Mus musculus: one gene and its partners. The protein of the gene in region 1 interacts with the protein of each later gene in a pairwise test. Links are inferred from orthologs where the notes say so. Each region holds a gene or a part of one and is shown on either strand. Other genes may lie near its edges.

What was found. The genes of interacting proteins can lie anywhere in the genome.
Region 2: the proteins of Kash5 (region 1) and Rnf146 interact in binary tests that used the Homo sapiens proteins (3 or more experiments, as listed by UniProt). The two-hybrid records come from large-scale screens. The link is inferred for Mus musculus from reciprocal best matches to the Homo sapiens genes KASH5 and RNF146.
Region 3: the proteins of Kash5 (region 1) and Cdc73 interact in binary tests that used the Homo sapiens proteins (3 or more experiments, as listed by UniProt). The two-hybrid records come from large-scale screens. The link is inferred for Mus musculus from reciprocal best matches to the Homo sapiens genes KASH5 and CDC73.
Region 4: the proteins of Kash5 (region 1) and Jagn1 interact in binary tests that used the Homo sapiens proteins (3 or more experiments, as listed by UniProt). The two-hybrid records come from large-scale screens. The link is inferred for Mus musculus from reciprocal best matches to the Homo sapiens genes KASH5 and JAGN1.

Annotation. Positions count from the first base shown.
Region 1 is NC_000073.6:45,201,535-45,206,783, forward strand, and holds the start of Kash5 (protein KASH5), read right to left. Parts: upstream 3,359-5,249; 5' UTR 3,170-3,358; coding exon 3,058-3,169; exon of another isoform or gene 2,909-3,057; intron 1-2,908. UniProt on the Homo sapiens protein: As a component of the LINC (LInker of Nucleoskeleton and Cytoskeleton) complex, involved in the connection between the nuclear lamina and the cytoskeleton.
Region 2 is NC_000076.6:29,358,926-29,363,560, reverse strand, and holds the start of Rnf146 (E3 ubiquitin-protein ligase RNF146), read left to right. Parts: upstream 1-1,857; intron 1,858-1,891; coding exon of another isoform or gene 1,892-2,165; intron 2,166-2,215; 5' UTR 2,216-2,276; intron 2,277-4,635. Other genes in the region: Gm30698 (verprolin-like), read right to left, coding at 1,052-1,857, 1,892-2,165. UniProt on the Homo sapiens protein: E3 ubiquitin-protein ligase that specifically binds poly-ADP-ribosylated (PARsylated) proteins and mediates their ubiquitination and subsequent degradation. May regulate many important biological processes, such as cell survival and DNA damage response.
Region 3 is NC_000067.6:143,699,577-143,704,764, forward strand, and holds the start of Cdc73 (parafibromin), read right to left. Parts: upstream 3,318-5,188; 5' UTR 3,049-3,317; coding exon 2,918-3,048; intron 1-2,917.
Region 4 is NC_000072.6:113,440,812-113,445,885, reverse strand, and holds the start of Jagn1 (protein jagunal homolog 1), read right to left. Parts: upstream 3,318-5,074; 5' UTR 3,178-3,317; coding exon 3,089-3,177; coding exon of another isoform or gene 3,082-3,088; intron 1-3,081. UniProt on the Homo sapiens protein: Endoplasmic reticulum transmembrane protein involved in vesicle-mediated transport, which is required for neutrophil function.

The sequences.
Region 1 (5,249 bases):
CAAACAAAAAAAGAATGTGCATGGCCATCACCAGGCCTGCTTCTCACCCTTTTTTTTTTTTTTTTTTAAATGTGTTTTGTGATGTGGTGGAGGTCAGAAGAGGGCATCAGAGCACCTGGAACTGGAGAGAGAAGGTTGTGAGCTGGCATGTGCCATCTGAGAATCAAAACTTGGTCATTTGCAAAAGTAGTAAGTGTCTCAGTGGCTTCTTATTCTTTTCTTTTCCAAACAAAGAGTCTCTCTCTGGAGATCTGGCTGGCCTAACACTTGCCAGGAATACCAGCCTTGAACTCAAGAGATCCACCTGCTTCAGGGTGCTGGGACTAAAGGCATGTGCCCTCACGCTGACACACAGCAAGTTCTCTTAACCACCGGGCCTTCTCTCTAGGCTCTTCTCTGTTGAAAATCAACTCTGTTGTTTTTCTCCTCCACCAGCCATCTCCATGCTGCTCCCCCTTTTTAAAAATAAAATTTATTTATTTGTTTGTTTGTTTATTTATTTATATGAGTGCTCTATTTGCATGCATGCCTGCATGACAGAAGAAGGCATCAGATCCCATTACAGATGGTTGTGAGCCACCATGTGGTTGCTGGGAATTGAACTCAGTGCTCTTTACCACTGAGACATCTTTACAGACACTCCCAAGGCCTATATTTATGAGTGGGCTTGACTCTCACAGGCTTCTGTGGTCACAGGGACTCCCTCCTCTGCACCCTGACAGTGCTGTCCTGCCTCTATTACAGCCTGGCCAGTCACTTTTTTTTTTCTTCCCTGAGACAGGGTTTCTCTGTATAGCCCTGGCTGTCCTGGAACTCACTTTGTAGACCAGGCTGGCCTCGAACTCAGAAATCCAATCTGCCTGCCTCTGCCTCCCTAGTGCTGGCCACCACGCCCGACTGGCCAGTCACTTTCAGGAGAAAAGGAGGCACTGTCAGTAGTCCCTCTAGGGACTGGGGCCAAGGGTAGAGAGAGCCTGGGTTTCCTCCTGCTTGGCTCCCCTTTGTTTGTTTGGAACCCCTGCTCATCCCCTGCAAAAGCTAAGAAACCTCCTTTGCTCTTCTCCCCTCAACTCTGCCCACAAGGACAAAACTTGGGGCTAACACCTCTCCTCTCCACTTTCCAGCTATCCACCCATAAGTGCCAACCCCCCCCCCCCCCGCCCCCGGGGTCTCAGCTTTTGACCATGTAAGGACATAATCCCAGCCCCTAGCTGGCACGTTATCACTCCCCGTCTAAGCTTTATAAAACACCTTTGCTAAGCTTAGCCTGGATGTGTGACTTCACTGATCTCCACGTGTGAGGTGGGTGGAGGTTGATGCCTCCTCGTAAGCCCGCCTTAATCTATTTTGAATCTGGAGTGATCCAGCCTATATCTTTGTCACCGAAGGGGAGAGAAGCAGCCTCTCTCCCTTTCCTCAGGGAATGCAGCCATCACTCTGCCTTGCCTGTATTCCGGCAGCCGAATGTTTTCTGGAGACATTATTATCTGGCTTTTGGAGACAGGGACTTAGTAAATATATATTATGTAGCTTTAGCTGTAGTGGGCCTTCTGAAGCTGTGTAAAGCAGGCTGGTCTTCAGCTAGTGGGGATCCTCCTGCTGTCCATCTCAGAGGCTTTTAGAAGGCACCAGGGAAAGAAGAGGCTTTCTGAGACTCTTTCAAGGGGAAACTCGGACAAAATCTTGAGGAACAAGGGATATCAGGTGGCCAGTGAGTGTCTTGTGGGTTTTAAACATGGAGGAAGTCTGGAGGGGATCCCTGGACTAGAATTCAAGGGCTGCATTTCTGGGGTGTCACTAGATTTCAGAGTCCCCGGCGGAACTTGTAGGGCAACTACAGATTTCTAAAGTATCAGATAGGACTTGAACACCAAATCTCCACCAAGATTTCAGAGGAAAAGTCTCTGACAGGTTTTTGAGGGAGACTCTGATGGGATATCTAGAAGATCCTAGCGGCTGGCGTGGTGGGCTACACCTGTGATACCAGCACTCAGGAGGCTGAGGCAGCAGGATCCAAGGTTTTGAGTAGAGTCTGGGCAATTTACTGAAGCCCTAGAGAGTCCCTGGAGGGTAGCTTAGTCGTTAAGAGGACTAACAGTTTACTCTTCCAGATAGATATGGGTTGGAATCCCACTACACACATGTGAACTCCTCCTCATCTGCAATTTTAGTTCAGAGGGATACAAAACCACCTGGTCTCCACAGGCACATACCTGACACACATACAAACATGCCGGCAAAATACTCAAAAACAAACAAACAAACAAAAAACCCCAACAACAACAAAAACCAAAAACACCCAAACAAAAGCCAGGCAGTGGTGGTGCACACCTTTAATCCCAGCACGTGGGAACCAGAAGCACACAGGCCAGCCTGGTCTACAGAGAGAGTTCCAGGACAGTCAATGCTACACAAAGAAACCCTGTCTCAAAACAAAAACACCTACCCTACCCACAAAAACAAAATAGATTAAGTGTTAGGTTTCAAAAGTTCTAGAAGATTGCAGTTGGGCACATCTGGGAGAGCTGTAATCCTAAAACTGGGGAATGAGGATCATGAGGTCGTGGCCAGCCTGGGCAGCACTTGGAGGGTCTGTCTCAAACAAAAATAGAAAACAAGCAACAAAAAGCAACCGGAAGTTTCAAGAGTCTGACAGGATTGCCGAAGTTGCCACTAGAATTTTCCTGAGGAAGCCGGTCACGGTGGCGCACGCCTTTAATCCCAGCGCTCGGGAGGCAGAGGCAGGAGGATTTCGGAGTTCGAGGCCAGCCTGGTCTACAGAGTGAGTTCCAGGTCAGCCAGGGCTACACAGAGAAACCTTGTCTCAAAACTTGGGGCGTTTTTGAAGGAGCTGGCAGGTGATGTTACCGGGGAACCTGCCATGAAAGTCGCCACAGGCAGGGCGTACCTGGAGTCGGGACTCAGTTGAGGGACACCAGCGACGAACGGCGGTTGCGAATGTCACGGAAGAGGCGTGTTCACACGCGCCTTTTCCCGCCAGAAATGCAAATGAGCCGGCCTCCTGCAAGTCCCGCCCTCTCAGGCTCTTGTACTCACGCAAGCGCACTCCGAGTGGATGGCGCCCGGGTCTCTCCTTACGAAGACCCTTGAGCTGGCGCATGCGTAGAGCTTCTCGGGAGGATAGGCTGGACCTGAGGATCGAGTGCATGCGCACTAGTGGGGCTAGCGGTGATGGCGCGATATTATCGGCAGCTTTCTTCTGCGGTACAAAAATCCTTTCCTTCTGCTTGACAAAATAGGGCCAAGCAGGAGAGAGTTCAACCGAAGGACTCCCTGTTCATCCTTTTCTTCTTGTCAGTCTTTGAACCAAGTTCTTTCTTTTGGGTCTGGCTCGCCCGCCACTGTCACAATGATGCGCAGTCTGGTCCAGCCTCACTTCCGCTCCATTCCCTCCCCCCCCCCCGCCCCCCGCATTAATAGGTACCCAAGCTGTTTTCCCAAACTATTATAGTTTCTACTTACTGCTTAGCTATGTAGCCCAGGATGGCTTCGGACTTGAAGCAATCACCCTGCCTCAGTCCATGCCTGTGGACTATTCGAACTTTTTTATTATTAAGGGTCCAACAGCCGGGCGTGGTGGTGCACGCCTTTAATCCCAGCACTTGGGAGGCAGAGGCAGGCAGATTTCTGAGTTCGAGGCCAGCCTGGTCTACAAAGTGAGTGCCAGGTCAGCCAGGGCTACACAGAGAAACCCTGTCTCGAAAAAGCCAAAAAAAAAAAAAAAAAAAAACCAAACCAAAAAAGAGTAAAGACACTTGCCACCCATCCCGGTGATCGATCTGAGAAGAATCCCCAGGACCCACATGGTGCAAGGAGGGCCCCTGAATTCCACATGCAGACCCTATCATGTTCACTTTCCTACCCCTTGCTGTTTAAAAACACATGCATGTAATGATAAGGACTGGGCATGTAGCTCAGGGGTACGGTGTTTGACTGAGGGTGCCCTCATTCAATCCCTAGGGCCTAGTGAATTGGGCAGGGTAGTGTACCAGTACTCGGGAGGTAGAGGCAAAAAGTGCAAGGTCTTTCTCACCTTACTGACCATCAGACCCTGTGTGTGCTGTTTAGTTTTTTGTTGCCTTGACAAAAGCCAGAGTCATCTGAAAACCTCAACTGAAAAGTTACCCTGTCAGTAGGCAAGCCTGTGGGGATATTTTCTTGGTTAATGAGTGATGTGGATGGCAGCCCACTGTGGGCAAGACCACCCCTGGGAAGGTGCTTCTGGGTTGTATGAAAAAAAACAAAACAAAACCCTGAGCAAGCTTCAGTTCCTCCTTCGAGCCCCTACCCTGCCTCTTCTCTGTGATGGACTGTGATCTATCACAAGATGAAATAGACTCCCCAAGTTGTTTTTGATCATGGTGCTCACCCCAAGTTGTTTTTGATCGTGGTGCTCACGCACCGCAGCAGTAGAAAGCAAACTAGGACGCCTGGTCTAGATGAAAGGTCTGCCGGGTGTTTTCAGGACAACTTGTGGTGCATTCTGGACCCTGTTAGCTTTGTCCCTATTATCAACATCCATTCCTGGGGCTGGAAACATAGACCACTGTTTAAGAGCAATGGATGTTTTTCCAGAACACCTGAGATGGATTCCCAGCATCCACATTGCAGGCCACTCAGGACACAGAAGCAGGGAGTTTGACTGGGCTTATCCCATACTGCCTCTGGGGTGGATGCTGGGCTGTAAGGAAGTGACATTGCTCCCAGGGTGGGAAAGCCAGAGCTCCTTCTGGGGTCCCAGGCCTGTGACAAGGCCAGGGTTGTGGGGTTCTCAGACTCTTGGAAATCCTGGCACGGCTGGGAGTCCTGGAAGAGCAGGGGCCTGAGGTCTGGGGACAGCATCTAGCCTGGAGCCTGGGGCAGGGGTTGGGGGAGAAGGGGAACTCCAGCTAGTCTCACAGGGATTATTGTCCTTATCTTGGTAAGGGAAGGAGGTTGTGACTGGGAGCGCAGAGAAGCCTTCTATGGGGGAGTGGGTTGTGGCTCTGAAGGTGAAGGCCTTCTTCATGGCTCCCACAGCAGATCTTGATGAAAAGAGACAGTCTATGATTCTAAACAGTTTATTGTCATGGCGGAAAATGGATGTGTAAAATCATACCTCAAACTCAGAAATCCGCCTGCCTTTGCCTCCCGAGTGCTGGGATTAATGGCATGCGCCACCATGCCCAGCTTGACACATTTATGTGCGAAGCATGGCATGTGTTCCAAGTCAGGAGTCTGTGGGTGGG
Region 2 (4,635 bases), on another chromosome or scaffold:
TAAGATGGCATGTTTCTCAATATCTGTACATTAATTAAAGTTATAAAAATAGTATTACTTAGAAGAAAATGTATTGAAATAGCTGATACCAAGAGACATTTACACACAGTGTACCTGTTTCCCTAAAGAAGCCACAATTGTGTGGAAGATCCTGTGGACTGAATGGCTGGCTAAACTTTCTAACAGTGGTCCAGGAGAATGCTGCATACAAGAACATATATTTGTGTCCCTCCTCCCCCATAGCCCATAGTTGCCACAGTAACCATTTGCTACAAATTCCTGTATCTTCTGGCCTAACATCTTTGTTACTGTTTGGTATGCACTGTTGAAACCTAGCTAGCCAGTAGCTTCCATCAACATTTTTAATCCCCCCAACCCCTTCCCTCAATGGTACTAGGGATTGAACCCAGATCCTCAAGTAAGGTGAATCAGCCTCCTACCGCTAGATCCCTTTGAAATTAAGAATATTTTAACATCTGAAGCCTATGAAATAGACCCACATGCTTGCTCACATCGACTCACCTATTCAATGTCTTATCCCTTTCAACGTACATTGATGTACAACCTTTTCTCTTCAGGCTATAAAAGTTCATATAATATTTCCTATAACAACTGAATGAATAACCCGAACCCATGCTCTGGATTTACAGCTATTAATGTTAAGCAGATGAGCTCTTCCTTTGGATCAGTGGCCTTGAAACCCTATAAATAGGTGCACAGTACATTTTTCAGTCCTGAATTCAAACAGTGGATGTAACCTCAAAATGCAACATTGTTGCAAGCACAATGCAAACAGTTACAGAATGCGGAAATACTTTCAAAGGTGAAAAGGTTCTCTGGTCCATTTTGTGCAACTTCAAGTAGAGAAAACTGTTCTGAAAAAGATCATGTGCCGGTTAAAATGAACAAGGACTAGATTTTGATGTGTAACACCATATGCTTGCCATAAAACTAACCCATGAAATTTATTCTAGATTCGCGGGACGATTTCTTCTTCTAGCTTCCTATGCTGTTAGGGTTTAAAAGACACCCCAGCACACCCCCTCTCCCATTACATATCTGGCCATTTGTGAGGTGAATAAATTGGAGCATCTCGGGGACCATCCAGTCCACGCCGTGACTTTTCTTGTGCCTTTTTTGTATAAGGAACAAGCGGTAGTCTCTCCAAGGGCACGGCCAAAGGAAACATAGGACTTGACCCAAGGCTGAGTTTTGGAAAGGCTCTTCTTCCTGGTACTGAAGGTCTAGCTTCCTCCCACAAGCCACCTAGATGGACCTCCACCAGTTCAGAACCAGGAGGCCACAAGATGCGCCACGCAGAGGGTGAGGGAGGACCGGAACAGGGACAAGGAGCAGCCCGGTCGCAGCAAGGGACAGAGAAGAGCAGCAGCCAGCGTGGGGACCGCCAGCCAGGGCCGCCGCGCGCGGGATCACGGTGAGGGGGCGTGGCTTCCGCCGGCGCGGCCCCGCCCCTTGAGCGCCGGGCGGTCACGTGACGGCCGCGCGCGTCCCCGTCCGCTGCGGGCTCCGAAGCGGAGGAGAAAAGACTGCGAGGTGGCTGCGGCGGCGGCCGAGAGGTGGGCTCCGGGCCGGACCGGTGAGGAGCGCGGGGGGCCGTGGGCTGCGGGCCTCGGCGGGGCACTGCGGCTTCGTTGGCTGCGAGGCGGCGCTCGGAGTCCGCGGCGGGCGGCGGCGGGTCGGGGGCCGGTAGGACGGGGACGCCCTTGGCCAGCGCGGCCCGGACGGGCGCGCGGAGGGAGGCCGAGCTGGCGCAGCCCGGACTGTGACGGGCGCGGCCCCGGCCATTACTGCGCAGGCAGGCCAGGCTGCGGGCAGCTCCAGCGGGCTCGACCGGGCCTCAGTCGGCCACGGGCTGCATGCTATCTTCCGCCTGCCCTGCCGCCGCCGCCGCCGCCGCGGCTGTGCCTCTGGGTCTTGCCCAGTGCCCGGAGTCGTCCCCTCCTCCTCGCGCTGGCGGAAGCCGCCGAGCGTTCTTGTTTTGATGGCTCCCCAAACCCGAAACCAGCCTGAGGTGTCGGGATACCAGTTGGGCCTCCCAAGCCGGGTGCATCTTGAGAGCTCCGGCAGTCGCTTTGTTCTGCTTGCTGGATGTGGAGTTTTCTCCTTAACCCTCCACCCCATCTGAGAGCGCACGGGATCCCCATTGTTGTCACTGTCTTATTTTCTGGACTTTTTTTTTTTTTTTTTTTTAAAGAGAAAGGGCTATGTGACATTGTTTTTGAGGATGTGGAAATGGAACCGTCCTCTATAATTAGGTAAGATGTTTCCCCACTGTAAGTTAGCACACGCATTCTGACAACTACATTTTATCTGTGTATGTGTGTGTGTGTGTGTGTGTGTTCTTTTGCAAACTAGATGTGCACCTGGAGCTTGGGCATTGAAAGGCACGTATTGTCATAGAAGTTGAATGCGTAGAACATAACAATAAATGATCTGTATCATTAGACTTTTAAAGAACATGGCATATTAAAGAACAAATTAAGAAAACGACCCACACATACTAGCAGAGCGTGAAAAGCGTCTGGGAGCTGTAGAAACACTTGAAAATAGGTGAAGTAAATCTCATTTTAGAGAAAACTCAAGAGTAACTGCTACAGTAAAGATGGAGTTTTGGATATGTTTGCTTGGGTCTTGGATATCATAGAGTTTATTTATGTCTTAATTGGGCGTGTGTAATGGGGAAAGAATGAAAACCCTGTTATTAAACGTTTGAAAGTTTCTGTTTTGTGCTGTTTAAGAACTGAGTCGAATTGTAGTCATGGGGAAATGTCCCAAATAACTGTTCATTAGATAACAGGAATGCAAACATAAATGATTTTTTTTTTTTTGTAGGAGACATGCCATTTAGTAAAAGTGCCACTTTGAAACTGTTGGAGGGTTTGTTTTGTTTTATTTTTTGGATCCAACATGATTCCTTGACTTTGAAGAAGAAAATAATAGGAAGAATTTTTCATATCCATCTGTTTAAAACATATTTTCTGTCAGCCATATATGAGTTTGAAGGACTTATCACATTTCCCTATCAGTATGAGAGATGGAAGATCCGAGTCTTTTCTACCTCCTTGCTTGGTTGCCTTCTTGATCACAGAGTCTGAACTTGGGTAACTGCTGGGTGGATTAGAAACAGTCTTTTTGAGCATACACACTGTTTACACTAGTCTACAGCTTCCTTTGCTTCTTTGTATACTCTCATTTACCTTTCTAGTTAGTTAATACAAAGCCTGTTGTTAAAGGCCTGCTAATTAAAATGTTTGGAGTTGTCCAATTACAGAGGCTGGCTAGAGCAAAGTAACAAAAGCATAGGGATAACTTGGCAAAGGTCACTCACCAGTTAATAAGAGGACTTTCTTATTTATAGAATGTCTGCCAGCCTGAAACATCTGTTAGATGAGAATACATGTATTACATATAAATATAAATTGACATTTGTATCTCATGAGTTAATGAAATCAATACAACGCCCACTTTGCAGAGAAGGAATTTAAAGCCTTACACTTAAGTATAAGGACGGAGACAAAAGTAAATAGAGTCACAGGATGGGGCTTCTTAAGGGCAGTCATACACAAGGCAAGAAGATCCCTCAAAAGTATGGAACCCCACTTAACTGAACTGGGTTTTGACAGAACACTTATTTCCAAGCTTAACTTAGACTTTTAAAACTGATTTGATGATGAAGTATAAAAATTGACACATTGTAACAGTTACATACTTGTGAATTTGGGAATCTTTCTTAAGAAGTTTTAAGATGTGTTTGTTAAATCCCATCTGACCCCTACTCATTTTTCTTGTGTTTATAATAGAGACATATGTAAGTAAACAGATACACATAATAAGGTTTGTAGTCCCCCTATTGATATGTTTTCTATATAGTGTATTCTGTTTGAGTAACTCTTATTTCATTACACCTTAACTTTAAATAGGATAAGCAGAAAATGTCCAACTGTATATAATTTGACATTTATATTTTTATTTCTATTGTGATATGTTCATCTTTTTTCTTTGATTCGCCTTTTTTTTTCCTTAAAGAAACAATATTTTATTCAAGTTTATTATCTAGGGACGGTGGATCTTTAAAAAGTTTGGCTGGCTTAAAATTAATCCTAATTGTTTACATTATCAACCCTAATATTTATATTAGGTATTAATGTAGTCAAGTAATTATGATTTAAATTTCTTCAGTGGTTACAATTTTAAAGTAATAAAATATGACTATTTTTCAGTTTTTTTAATGTAGCTGGATTAATGGACTATTAATCCATTTTGTCTCAACTTAGAAAATTCTGTGAGATATAGAAATTGGAAAAGTCACCATAACCTGCAAGGTTTTAGAGAATATATGCACAATGCCCTCACAGAGACATTGTTTCCATCTTGCTTACATTTGTAAAGTTATCCCCAGATAGCTGCAGTCTGCTTTGTTGATGGAATACTTTGATAAAGTTTGTCTATGAGCACCAAAGATTTTTGTATAACTGGAATAAAACAGTTCTAAGGATGGACTGGTCCAAAATGCAGGTGTTCTTAAAGATTTATATGGGTTATTTCGAAACTTCTTTGTTTCTGTTTGCTTTGATATTTAAGTACAAACCAGTTGTAGAGATTAAATATTTATGG
Region 3 (5,188 bases), on another chromosome or scaffold:
TATATATATATATAAAATTTTTCTTTTCTTTTTTTTTTTAGACAGGCAAGGTCTCATGTATTCCAACTGGCTTCCAAGCAGCTACCCAGCAGAGGACAGCATGTACTCTCCACCATATCTCACTGTATGTGGTGCTTGAGATCAACTGCAGAGACTCAGATATACTAGGCAAGCACTCTACCAACTCAGTGAGCTACATCCTCCACCCCACTGTATACATATTTTAAAATAAGACCTAAATTGAGTTCTGAACTCTGTCAACAGAGAAAAAAATGAAATCCAACCAGCTGCACAATGGAAAGGATTATCCATAGAAGACAAACTACTCAGATGAAGGTTTTACTAGGGACGCACTTACAAGATGCACATTGTATAACTCTTTGTAAACAAGACACTGCTATACAACATCCTCAACAATAGTCTGTAAGTTAAAAGGATGTACTTCGCCGGGCGTGGTGGCGCATGCCTTTAATCCCAGCACTCGGGAGGCAGAGGCAGGCGGATTTCTGAGTTCGAGGCCAGCCTGGTCTACAAAGTGAGCTCCAGGACAGCCAGGGCTATACAGAGAAACCCTGTCTCGAAAAACCAAAAAAAAAAAAAAACCAAAAAAAAAAAAAAAAAAGGATGTACTTCAAAGAGATGATCCTTATAACATCTCTCAAACTGACACTAAAACAAAGCCAAAATGTAACTCTGTGATCCAACAATGTAGTCTTGAGGATACAAGCTCTCTAGTGATAACACATAGACTGCTCTGCAAGCAGGTCCTTTCTCCTCCAACTTCTTATGACGGTTCAACTGTATGAATCCATTTAAATACAGCTCACTGAAATGTGTCCTAAATCTCCTTTACTAGCCTCTATTATCACTTTTCCTCTAAACAAGTGGTCCTCAGCCCTCCTGATGCTACAAACCTTTAATACAATTCCTCCTGTTGTGACCTCCAACTAAAAAATCATTTTCATTGCTACTTCATAACTGTAACTTTGCTGCTGTTATAAATGTAACTATGTTTTCTGATGGTCTCAGGTGATTGATCCCTGGAAAGGATCTTTCCACGCCCTCCAGAAGGGTCTCAACTCACAGGTTAAGAACCACTGCTCAAAACTGATATTATGTCCAATCACTCATTAGTAGTTATTATACAAATTATCATAAAAATAGAAAGCACTGAACACATTAAGGGTACGGACTAATCTTTTATCGATATACATTTAGACGTGCATACATGTAGAGTTAATAACTTCTGCTAAAAATTTAATGTTGAAAGTTTTAAATTTCTTCTAAGTTTTACTTTTTCACTCCTTTGTACATGCTTGTCAAGCCATGTCCTTTCCAGGCCTCATGTCTTAAGTCTATAGCTCCCCCACACTGGAAGGCTATCCCACTACTTCACTCAACTTCTTGGCTGTTCTTTCAAGTTTACTCATCTGTTCATTCATTTATTCCAGGCTTTGGATAATGCACCTCACCTACAAGGAAACAACTGTTCTCTTCTTATCAGCTACAAAACAGTTCAGATCAACTTAATCTGTTTCACCTTTTCTAGCCAAAATAGTTTAAGGAAGGAACCAGAGTTTTAGGCTTTTTTTTTTTCAAGTTAAATTTCCTTTATCCCTTAGGTTTGTTAAAGAAAAAATATTCATTAAAACCCAATAAAATAAGCCGGGCGTGGTGCCTTTAATCCCAGCACTTGGGAGGTAGAGGCAGATGAATTTCTGAGTTTGAAGCCAGTCTGGTCTACAGAGTGAGTTCCAGGACAGCCAGGGCTACACAGAGAAACCCTGTCTCAAAAAACAAACAAACAAACAAACAAAACCCAATAAAATAATTGTGTTATTTATTTGAAAGAGTAAAACATGGGAAACTCAAAATATCACTTAATCAACATTTCAAAAAGGAAATCAGTAAGTCCAAAGAAATCTTAAATTGATTTTCTCGTGTTAAATTGATCGTTCAAAGTTATTCAAACAAAATGGGTACCAAAATTCTGACTCATTCTAGTAATCAAAGAGAAGCATCAATAGTAGTAACATCATTACAGAGGACTCAAAGGATTCTTCAACTTGACCCTCTGTGATTTCCTGAACGACTTACATCCACGGCATCCATGGAACAATAATCACAAATGGTTTTGTTTTGTTTTTCCTTTGAAGGCTCTTCCTGAAGAGCACACAGGATCAATTTCTCAGACCCGTATGTAAAGCTCACTGCTTTTCCCCCGGTCTCACTGCATTTCCCCGGTAACTTTCTCCCCAACAAAGTCCTGCTTTCAGCTCCAATACTGTTTCAGCAAACTTCCAAACTCTCCTAATCGTCCCTTAACTCTAAGTGATAGCTGTCTATTCCTTTTTTTTTTTCTCCCCCAACCCCTCTTGAGGAATAACATCAACCTACCCCTATTATGAAAAAAGAAAAAAAAGAAAATTGCCGAGGCGCTCGAGGAGCCAAAGAAGACAGTTGCAACACATGGCAGGCTCTGGGAGATTACAAAAAAAAAAAAAACCTAAGAACAAAAAGCGACTCGGTGGCCGGCAGATGCTGCGATCGATCGCTGTCCTTCTACACCTCCGTCCAGGTAGCCGTGCACCAGCCCCACACGGCGCGGACAACCTGTACACACTCCACGCCAACTGGCAAGTCGGAAACTCCCATGGTACCTTTCCCTTCGGCTTCTCCAACACAGAGAAGACTTGACCGCTCTAGAATCCGCTCCACTTCTTCCCTCCTCGCCCTAAAAGTACAACTTCTTCTCCAGAGAATAACTTTTTCCCCAGAGCACCCATTTTTTTTTCTCCCCCCTCTCATCCCTGAGGGACTCCGAGGAGGACAGGGAGGAGGGCTTTAGGGAAAGAGGTCGCCCGGGGGCGCCCGATGCTGCCCCGCCACCACTAGGCCACAGCCACGCCGCACTCACCCCCAAACTACATAGTTGGTCTTCACATTCTTGGGCCAGGAGAACTCCCCGAAGATCACTTCATCCCCCTTGACCACGATCTCCTTCTTCTGGATGTTGTACTGTCGCAGGACGCTGAGCACGTCCGCCATCTTCGCCCCCCTCGCTGCTGCCGCCGCCGCCGCCGCGGGCCCCGGGCCCCGCCGTCGCCGCCGCGCCTGCCGCCTCCTTCCCCCGTCGCCTCGCCCTCTTCCCCCCGCCGCCGCCGCCGCCGCCGCGAACCAACAGCCGCCACACTCAACAGCCGGCCGCGTCTACGACAGCAGCACGGGCAGAAGCCACCCAGGCCGCCGAGGACCCCGCGCTATATAAGGCAAGGCCCCGCCGCGGGCTGCCCGCGGAGAACGCCTGACTGACCCACGCTCCGCCGGGGCCGCGGGCCGCCGCCAGGGGGCGCCGTGGCCGCCCGAGCACACGCGCCACCCAGACGCCCGCGGGGCGCGCCGCCGACTTCGGGAAACGGGGAGCGGGCCTCGGCGCTCCGCGTGTGCGGCGCCCTAGCGGAACCGGGCCCCGGTGCGGTCTCAAGGCTCGCACGGGGCGAGCGACAGGTGCGCGCGCACCTGCTGGGCGCTTCCGCGCTTTTCAATCCCAGAGCGCGCGCCGCCGCCGGGTGATTTAAACTTTCCCTGCGCCAGGCTCCGCTTCCCTCCCTTGAACCCCAGGACTACCTTTCTGTCTGCATCGGAGCCCCACCGCACTCTGCGACATAGGTCCCCATGGTCAGGAACAGCTCCTAGGGAAAGCTGGAGCTTTGAAATGTGGACGTTTTCAAGTTTAGGCTGGATTTTAATAAGGGGTGTATTTGCAAAGAGGAAAAGAAGAGTTAGGTGGAGGACAATTCTTGCCCCGTTTGTTAGTCTCTGGTCTCCTAACATCGTTTGATTGGTAGACAGAATAAAATTAATCAGAGAAAAAGCTGAAAGCATCCCAACGCGTCGACGAAGGACCATTCATTGTTGACTCGTCCCCCTCCTTTCCTTGGAAACAACTTTTTCCATCCCCTCAGCTTCTCCCGGGTAATCACAAAAAAAGCCTCAAGTGATTTCAGGTTATGAATGGAAGAAATACTCCTTCAGAAACCTCAAGCTGTGAATTAGAACACTTTTTCAGACGAACAGACTTTTAAGTGGTACTCAAAAGGCTTACCGGTGCCTTTATGATTATGGGAACCTAGAAATCAATTCTGCATACTATTCATGGCCTGTGTACTTTAAACATATACTTCAAGCCTAATATTTCTTTTTCACTCTTTGTGAGAAGGAGGCACACTTTGTTACTTATAAAAACAAATACTTTGGTCTGTTTTTTTTTGGGGGGGGGGACTTTTGTTATGTGTGACAAAGTGTAATTTGGGTATAGAAAGAAGTATGAGGTTAAAAAAATGTCTGCTCCACAAATGTCTTTCTCCCGTCAATGTGTCTCAGAACCTCACTGCAAATGCAGGTTATAAAGAACTGACTGTGCTTGTCTGTCCCTTTCACATCTCTGAACTTATGCCTATATCACAGCATCCAGTATTTCCTTGTCCCCTTTGTTTGCTTCTCTACCTCCTAGGAGATGAACCGACTGTATGACATGAGATGAACCGACTGTATGACATGTAGTATATATTGGTCATATGTACTATACTTGGTACAGTGACAGCTCCTAGAACGATGTTGTAGTAAGTGAAAAGATAAAGGCTCCAAGTAAAGTCTGGGTAATAAATGCATAGGTAGGTTTCATGGAGTTAAGAGAGTCAACAATAGTTTTTATGAATTTTAATTCATATACAAATCATTTCCAACCAATTTCTCTTTTTGATTAATTTATGTTTTTAAGGTTAATGATCCTTAAACTCAACGTTGTAAGATACATGGTTAGTAATTTATAGTGTATAGCAGTTAAAGCACGGAAGTTCTACTTTGTTTTTGTTATATAAATTCCCTTAAATTGTCCCTCTCATGTTAAGTCAAGAAGGTCAAAATCTAATAAAAGATAATAGTAGTTGTAGAACTAAAGATTCGGGAAAGTAACTAAAAATTATATTCAAAATAGTTTTATTGCTGGGCAGTGGTGGCGCATGCCTTTAATCCCAGAACTTGGGAGGCAGAGGCAGGCGGATTTCTGAGTTCAAGACCAGCCTGGTCTACACAGTGAGTTCCAGGACACCCAGGGCTACACAGAGAAACCCCTGTCTTGAAAAAAACAAACAAACAAAAAAAAATTTTTGTTTTATCACGGGCAAAG
Region 4 (5,074 bases), on another chromosome or scaffold:
TACAGCTGAGCCATTGCAAGGGGGGGAGGGGGGTCTCTTCGCCACCACCCCCCACCCCCCACCACCCCCGCCCAAGTAGAGTTAATAATCTTCATGAGATAACAACTCTGTATCTGGTGATATCTCAAACTTCAGGAGTCTGACCCCAAGGAGTCTTTTTAGGCATATTTAGGCACAGCATGGTTTGGTGGAAATTTTCCTGGCGATGACTATCGAGGCCTGTGTAAAGATGAACAACAAATGGCTTTAGAACTAATAGAATATGGCCCACTGGTCAGCACAACCAGGATGCGTGTGCCTGCGAGAGGCGGAGGGCTGAGGAAGGTGTGCCCTGGGGACTTCATGCTGTTACGCAGCATCTCTCTGCGAGTCCTCAGTCATCACGTCACCCCTAATCTATGGGTTGTATGAAAACTCTAAGGGGGTTTCCAGGCCCTCACGAGGCAGTGTCCTTAGCAGGACACAAATAGCGATTGATCTTTTTCAAGCAGGCACTTTAATTTGCTGCTGGAGCAAATTAATGATCCATCCATCACTCTCAGAAAGGACTTAGAGATGGAGACTGTGAGTGACGTCCACCACCCTTAGAAAGAATGTGGAGATGTAGGTTGTTAGTAAAGTTAGGTTAAGATGTTTTAGTTAGTGGCTTTGATCTAGAAAATCTTGGGTTACAACTTAGAAAGGTACACTTTTAAATATTGAGCGAGGGTTGTTTTTTAAGGTCAGAGAACAAGAACAATGACAACCCAGCCAGCTCTAGCTGACCTGCCTCTCTTGCTAACGCTGGGTTGGTGATCAAGATGATTAATTTCTTGTACCCATTTTTGCCCTCAGCTTCCTGATAGGATTTAATAAGAAAAAAAAATTTTTTTTTTGTGGAAGAAAATTTGTTAATGAATAGATCTGCACCCTGAGGATTTAAAGTAGAAATGACTGATTGTTTCTTATATAAAACTGTAGATTTATGATTCTTTTAAGATTTTTATAAGATTATTTTTTTAAGATAAATAATAATTGACTCTTTCTTTGTAATTACAAACTGCAGCCTGCCAGGAAGAGAAACTGGCTGAGACAACTGCTTGCTCACACTTGGTTAATCTATAACAGGTTGCTTAGTTACGAATGCATGTGGGTTCTTGGGAATAATTTTTTTTTCACCCATAATATGTAAAACACTTGATCGTGCAAGGGTATTGGGAAACTTCATTGTAATCATTCACTTAAGGAAAAATAGAATGTAACCACATCGTGATTCAAAGATTTGGCTGGGATACATAAGCTGTAGGTGAAAGGGCTGTTCGAGCTTTGCTTCGTCTACCAAATGTATGTGTGTGTATGCATACATGTGAAGTTGTTGGAGCTTGTTGGAGATTGCATCATCTACCAAGTGTGTGAGTGTGTGTGCCTGTATTACATCACTGCCAACCCCACATCCCCACCTTGGATCACTGAACACAACTGTCAGAGTTGGCCGTCAACAGATAGCTAATTCAATCCCATGTGCACAATAAGCTTAAGGCTTGACTGCACCCTTTGGTCCCAGGCCCTGGGGGAAAGGAAGGAAGTGCATGCTTGGGGACTGGTCCCACTGGATCTCTATCCTAACGTCCATGGCCGTCAGCACCCCTCCTTTCCCCAAGGTGAAATGGAGGGTGCTGTGGGGGCCTGCCCACTCCATGGCAGTGCCCTGAAGGAGTCAGACTACCATGGCATCGCAGGCCCAGAGGGCAGACATTTTTTCTAGTTTTTAATTGGGGTGTGGGAGGGTTTGGGGAGGTTTTCTATCACTGTGTTGTTTTTCTGCTGAGGGTGGAATATTCTGCCCTTTTAATCAAGGTGATTGTGATTTTGACTAATAAAAAGGACTTTATAATTGAAGAAAAAAAAAAAAAAGACTTGACTGCATTGAAACTCTTTGTAAACTTCATGTGACATCTTCCATAAAGATAGGGTCTACAGGTGGTGTCACACGCCTTTAATCTTATCAGGCAGAGGTAGGTGGGTCTCTGAGTTTGATGCCAGCCTGGTCTACAAAGTGAGTTCCAAGAAAGCCTGGAATTACAAGGAGAAACCCCATCTCGAAAAACCACTAAAGGAAGGACAGAGGCAGGTGAGGGAAAGAAAGACTCAGTGCAGAACACAATACAGACAGGATGGATAGATAGCCTGTAAGAGTTTATCAAACAAATAAAGGAACGTAGAAAGATCTCCTTATATGGACGTATTCCTAAACCTCAGGATGGACAGGGTCACCTTTTACCACCCACATCCAGACAGCCCCAAGTTTAGCAGCCACCACACTCCTATGCTGTGCCTTTACACAAACGACTTGCTAATTCCTCACCAAAACCTAAAAATCATGAAATTTTCTCCCTCTAAAAATGTGAAAACTGAGACTCCAATTGGAAATAACCCGAGTTGGAGCTGGAGAGTAGGCTCGCTGCAGTGGAGGCGGTTTGGGTTCATGAACCACAACTCTAGCTTCCAAAATCACTTCTGACGTGTGGTTAGAGACATGGCTTGCCACCTTTCTGGGCTTGGCTCTCAGCACCAACCTCGGGTAGACTCCAAATGCCATGTGTAACTCCAGCTCCAACGCCCTCTACTGGATTCTGCGAGCAGTTGCTCTCACGTGCACAAATACACACACACACACACACACACACGAAATTAAAAATAAAAATCTTTAAAAATGTTAAGGAGTTCTCAGGCCAAGTGCATCCCTGAAAAGCCAGAAGCACTCAGGAGACTAAAGAGAAGGCTGTGAGTTCGAGATCAGCCTGGACGCTACCGTGGGATCTAGACTTGAAAAAGAAAAGTGGCAGTGGCGTTCCCAAGGTCACCCAGGGGGCCAGCACCGAACCACGAGCCTGTGCAGGCTGGATCCCCTCAAAGAATAAGTCGGACCAAGGTGGGCCACGGGGTTTCCCCGGCCTGGAAACAGAGCAGAGGTCGTTAGAGCAGGGGACCTGGCGGGTACACGACAACTGGCTGGGGGGCGACAGCGTGAGGACCACTGGCGTCGCTTCTTCCCAGGATCTGCAGGCTCCGCCGGGAAAGGCCTCGGTACGCCTGGCTCACCTCGTACCTCATCTGGTAGTGCATGGCGACGCGCTCCCGGTGCTGAAAGTCGCTGCCGTCGGTGCCGGCCGCTCGCGGGCCTGCCCGAGACGCCATTGTACAGAACTAAGGCCCCTAACGCCGACCCTCTGCTCACACACCCAGCCAAGCACCCTGCGAACCCCTTCCCTGCTACCTCGGCCCGGCTTTCACTACACGGCGTGGAGCTCCGGGAGAACTTCCGGCCTCTCTATCCTGGGAGGACTGACTCTGTGGTTCCTTCTTCGCGCATGCGTTCTTGGCCTTTCTGAGGTTCTTTGCCAGAGTAGAGCGATTGCGGAATTAACAGTCCCTAGAAATGGTTCACTGACCTGCCCAGAGATCCCATCGTGCAGAACCGAACCCCAGGCCGCTGATGCCGAGCAACCAAGCCCCCAGCAAACCCCTTTTAACTTCATTTAAAGCATTTAAAATAATTACTTGTGTATGGGTGTTTTGTCTGTCTGTCTATGCACCACGTGTGGTTTTTGTGCCTGCAGAGGCTGGAAGAGGACATAGGATAGATTTGCTAGCTATACTGTGAGTGCTGGGATTTAAACCTAGTTCTATTGACCTCTTAACGGCTGACCCAGACCTTAAGTTGTAATTCTTGAGACAGGGCTTCATGTGCTTCATGCTGGCCTCGAACTCTTGACGGTCTTTTTTGCTTCAATCTCCCAAGGCGTGATTATAGTCTTAAACCATACCTAACTAGACTTGGCATCTTTGCCCAGTGGCTTGTTGCACATCTATATTTCCTGAAGCTCCACACAACCTTGGGGTTAGGGTCCAGAGCAAAGACGTTATACAACGAAAAGTATAGGGTGGTCAATGCTGAGAGGCGTCACTCAGAGGCTGAAGCAGTAAAGAGGCATCTCTTCCTCCCTGCAATGCTCTCCATAGTCTGAGACCCTGCGTCCTGAGGGCTAACTGGAACAAAGATGGCTGTGAATATTTGTAATCTCCTCAACGTGAAAGGTGGAGGCAGGAACAGGAGGAGTTCATTGAGGCCAGCCTGGCCTGTGTTGAACGTTTGCCAATAAATTAATTAAATAATTAATAACTGGAGAGTTATTAACAGTGGTTAAGAGTACCTACTGTTTTTGCTAAGGACCCAGATTGTTTGTTTTATTGAGACAGAGTCTCACTATGTCCTGGCATTTGCTATGTGGGTAGCCTTGAACTCACAGAGTGTTCTCCTTGCCGGATGTGTTATACAGCGAATGCATGTCGGGTGCCAGGGGAAGTCAGGAGAGGCCGTCAAACCCCCAAATGCCCTGGAACTGGAGCGCTTGTTGTGAGCTACCATGCAGGCTCTGGAAATCCAACTCAGGTCCTTTTCAAGAACAATCGCTCTTAGCCACTGATCCATCTCACCACCCCTTTGGGGTTTGGCTCCCAACACCTACAGCTCACAACTCACTGAAACTCCAGTTCCAGAGTCTCTAGCACCCTCTTCTGGCCTAGGTGGGCACTGCATTCATACTGTATACAGACCTACACGCAGGTCAAATACCCAAACACACATAAGATTTTTTTAAATTGATTTTTATTTTTTAAGGCAAACAAATGGCTGTACTGGGCATAGGAGTGTATGCCTGTGATCACAGCACTTGGGAAGTTGAAGCATGAGTTTGAGGTCAGCCTAGGCAATACAGTAAGATCTCTTCTACCTACCTACCTACCTACCTACCTACCTACCTACCTACCTACCTATCTGAACATATCTAGTTGCTGTATGGAGACTGGGCTGGAGGGGAGAAAGGTGAAGTCTACTTCAGTAGCAGAAGCAAGAAATAACCCAGTGGCTTTAGAGCTGAACTTGGAAGATCTTAGAGTTGAAATATGGCTGAGGCACCCTGCCAGAGCCGAGGCTGCCAGCAGTGTCCTCAGGGTAATTCAGAGAGCTGTGGGGCCTGCCAGCCTGGGCCTGCTCACCTTCAGAGTCTATGCAGCACCCCAAAAGGACTCACCT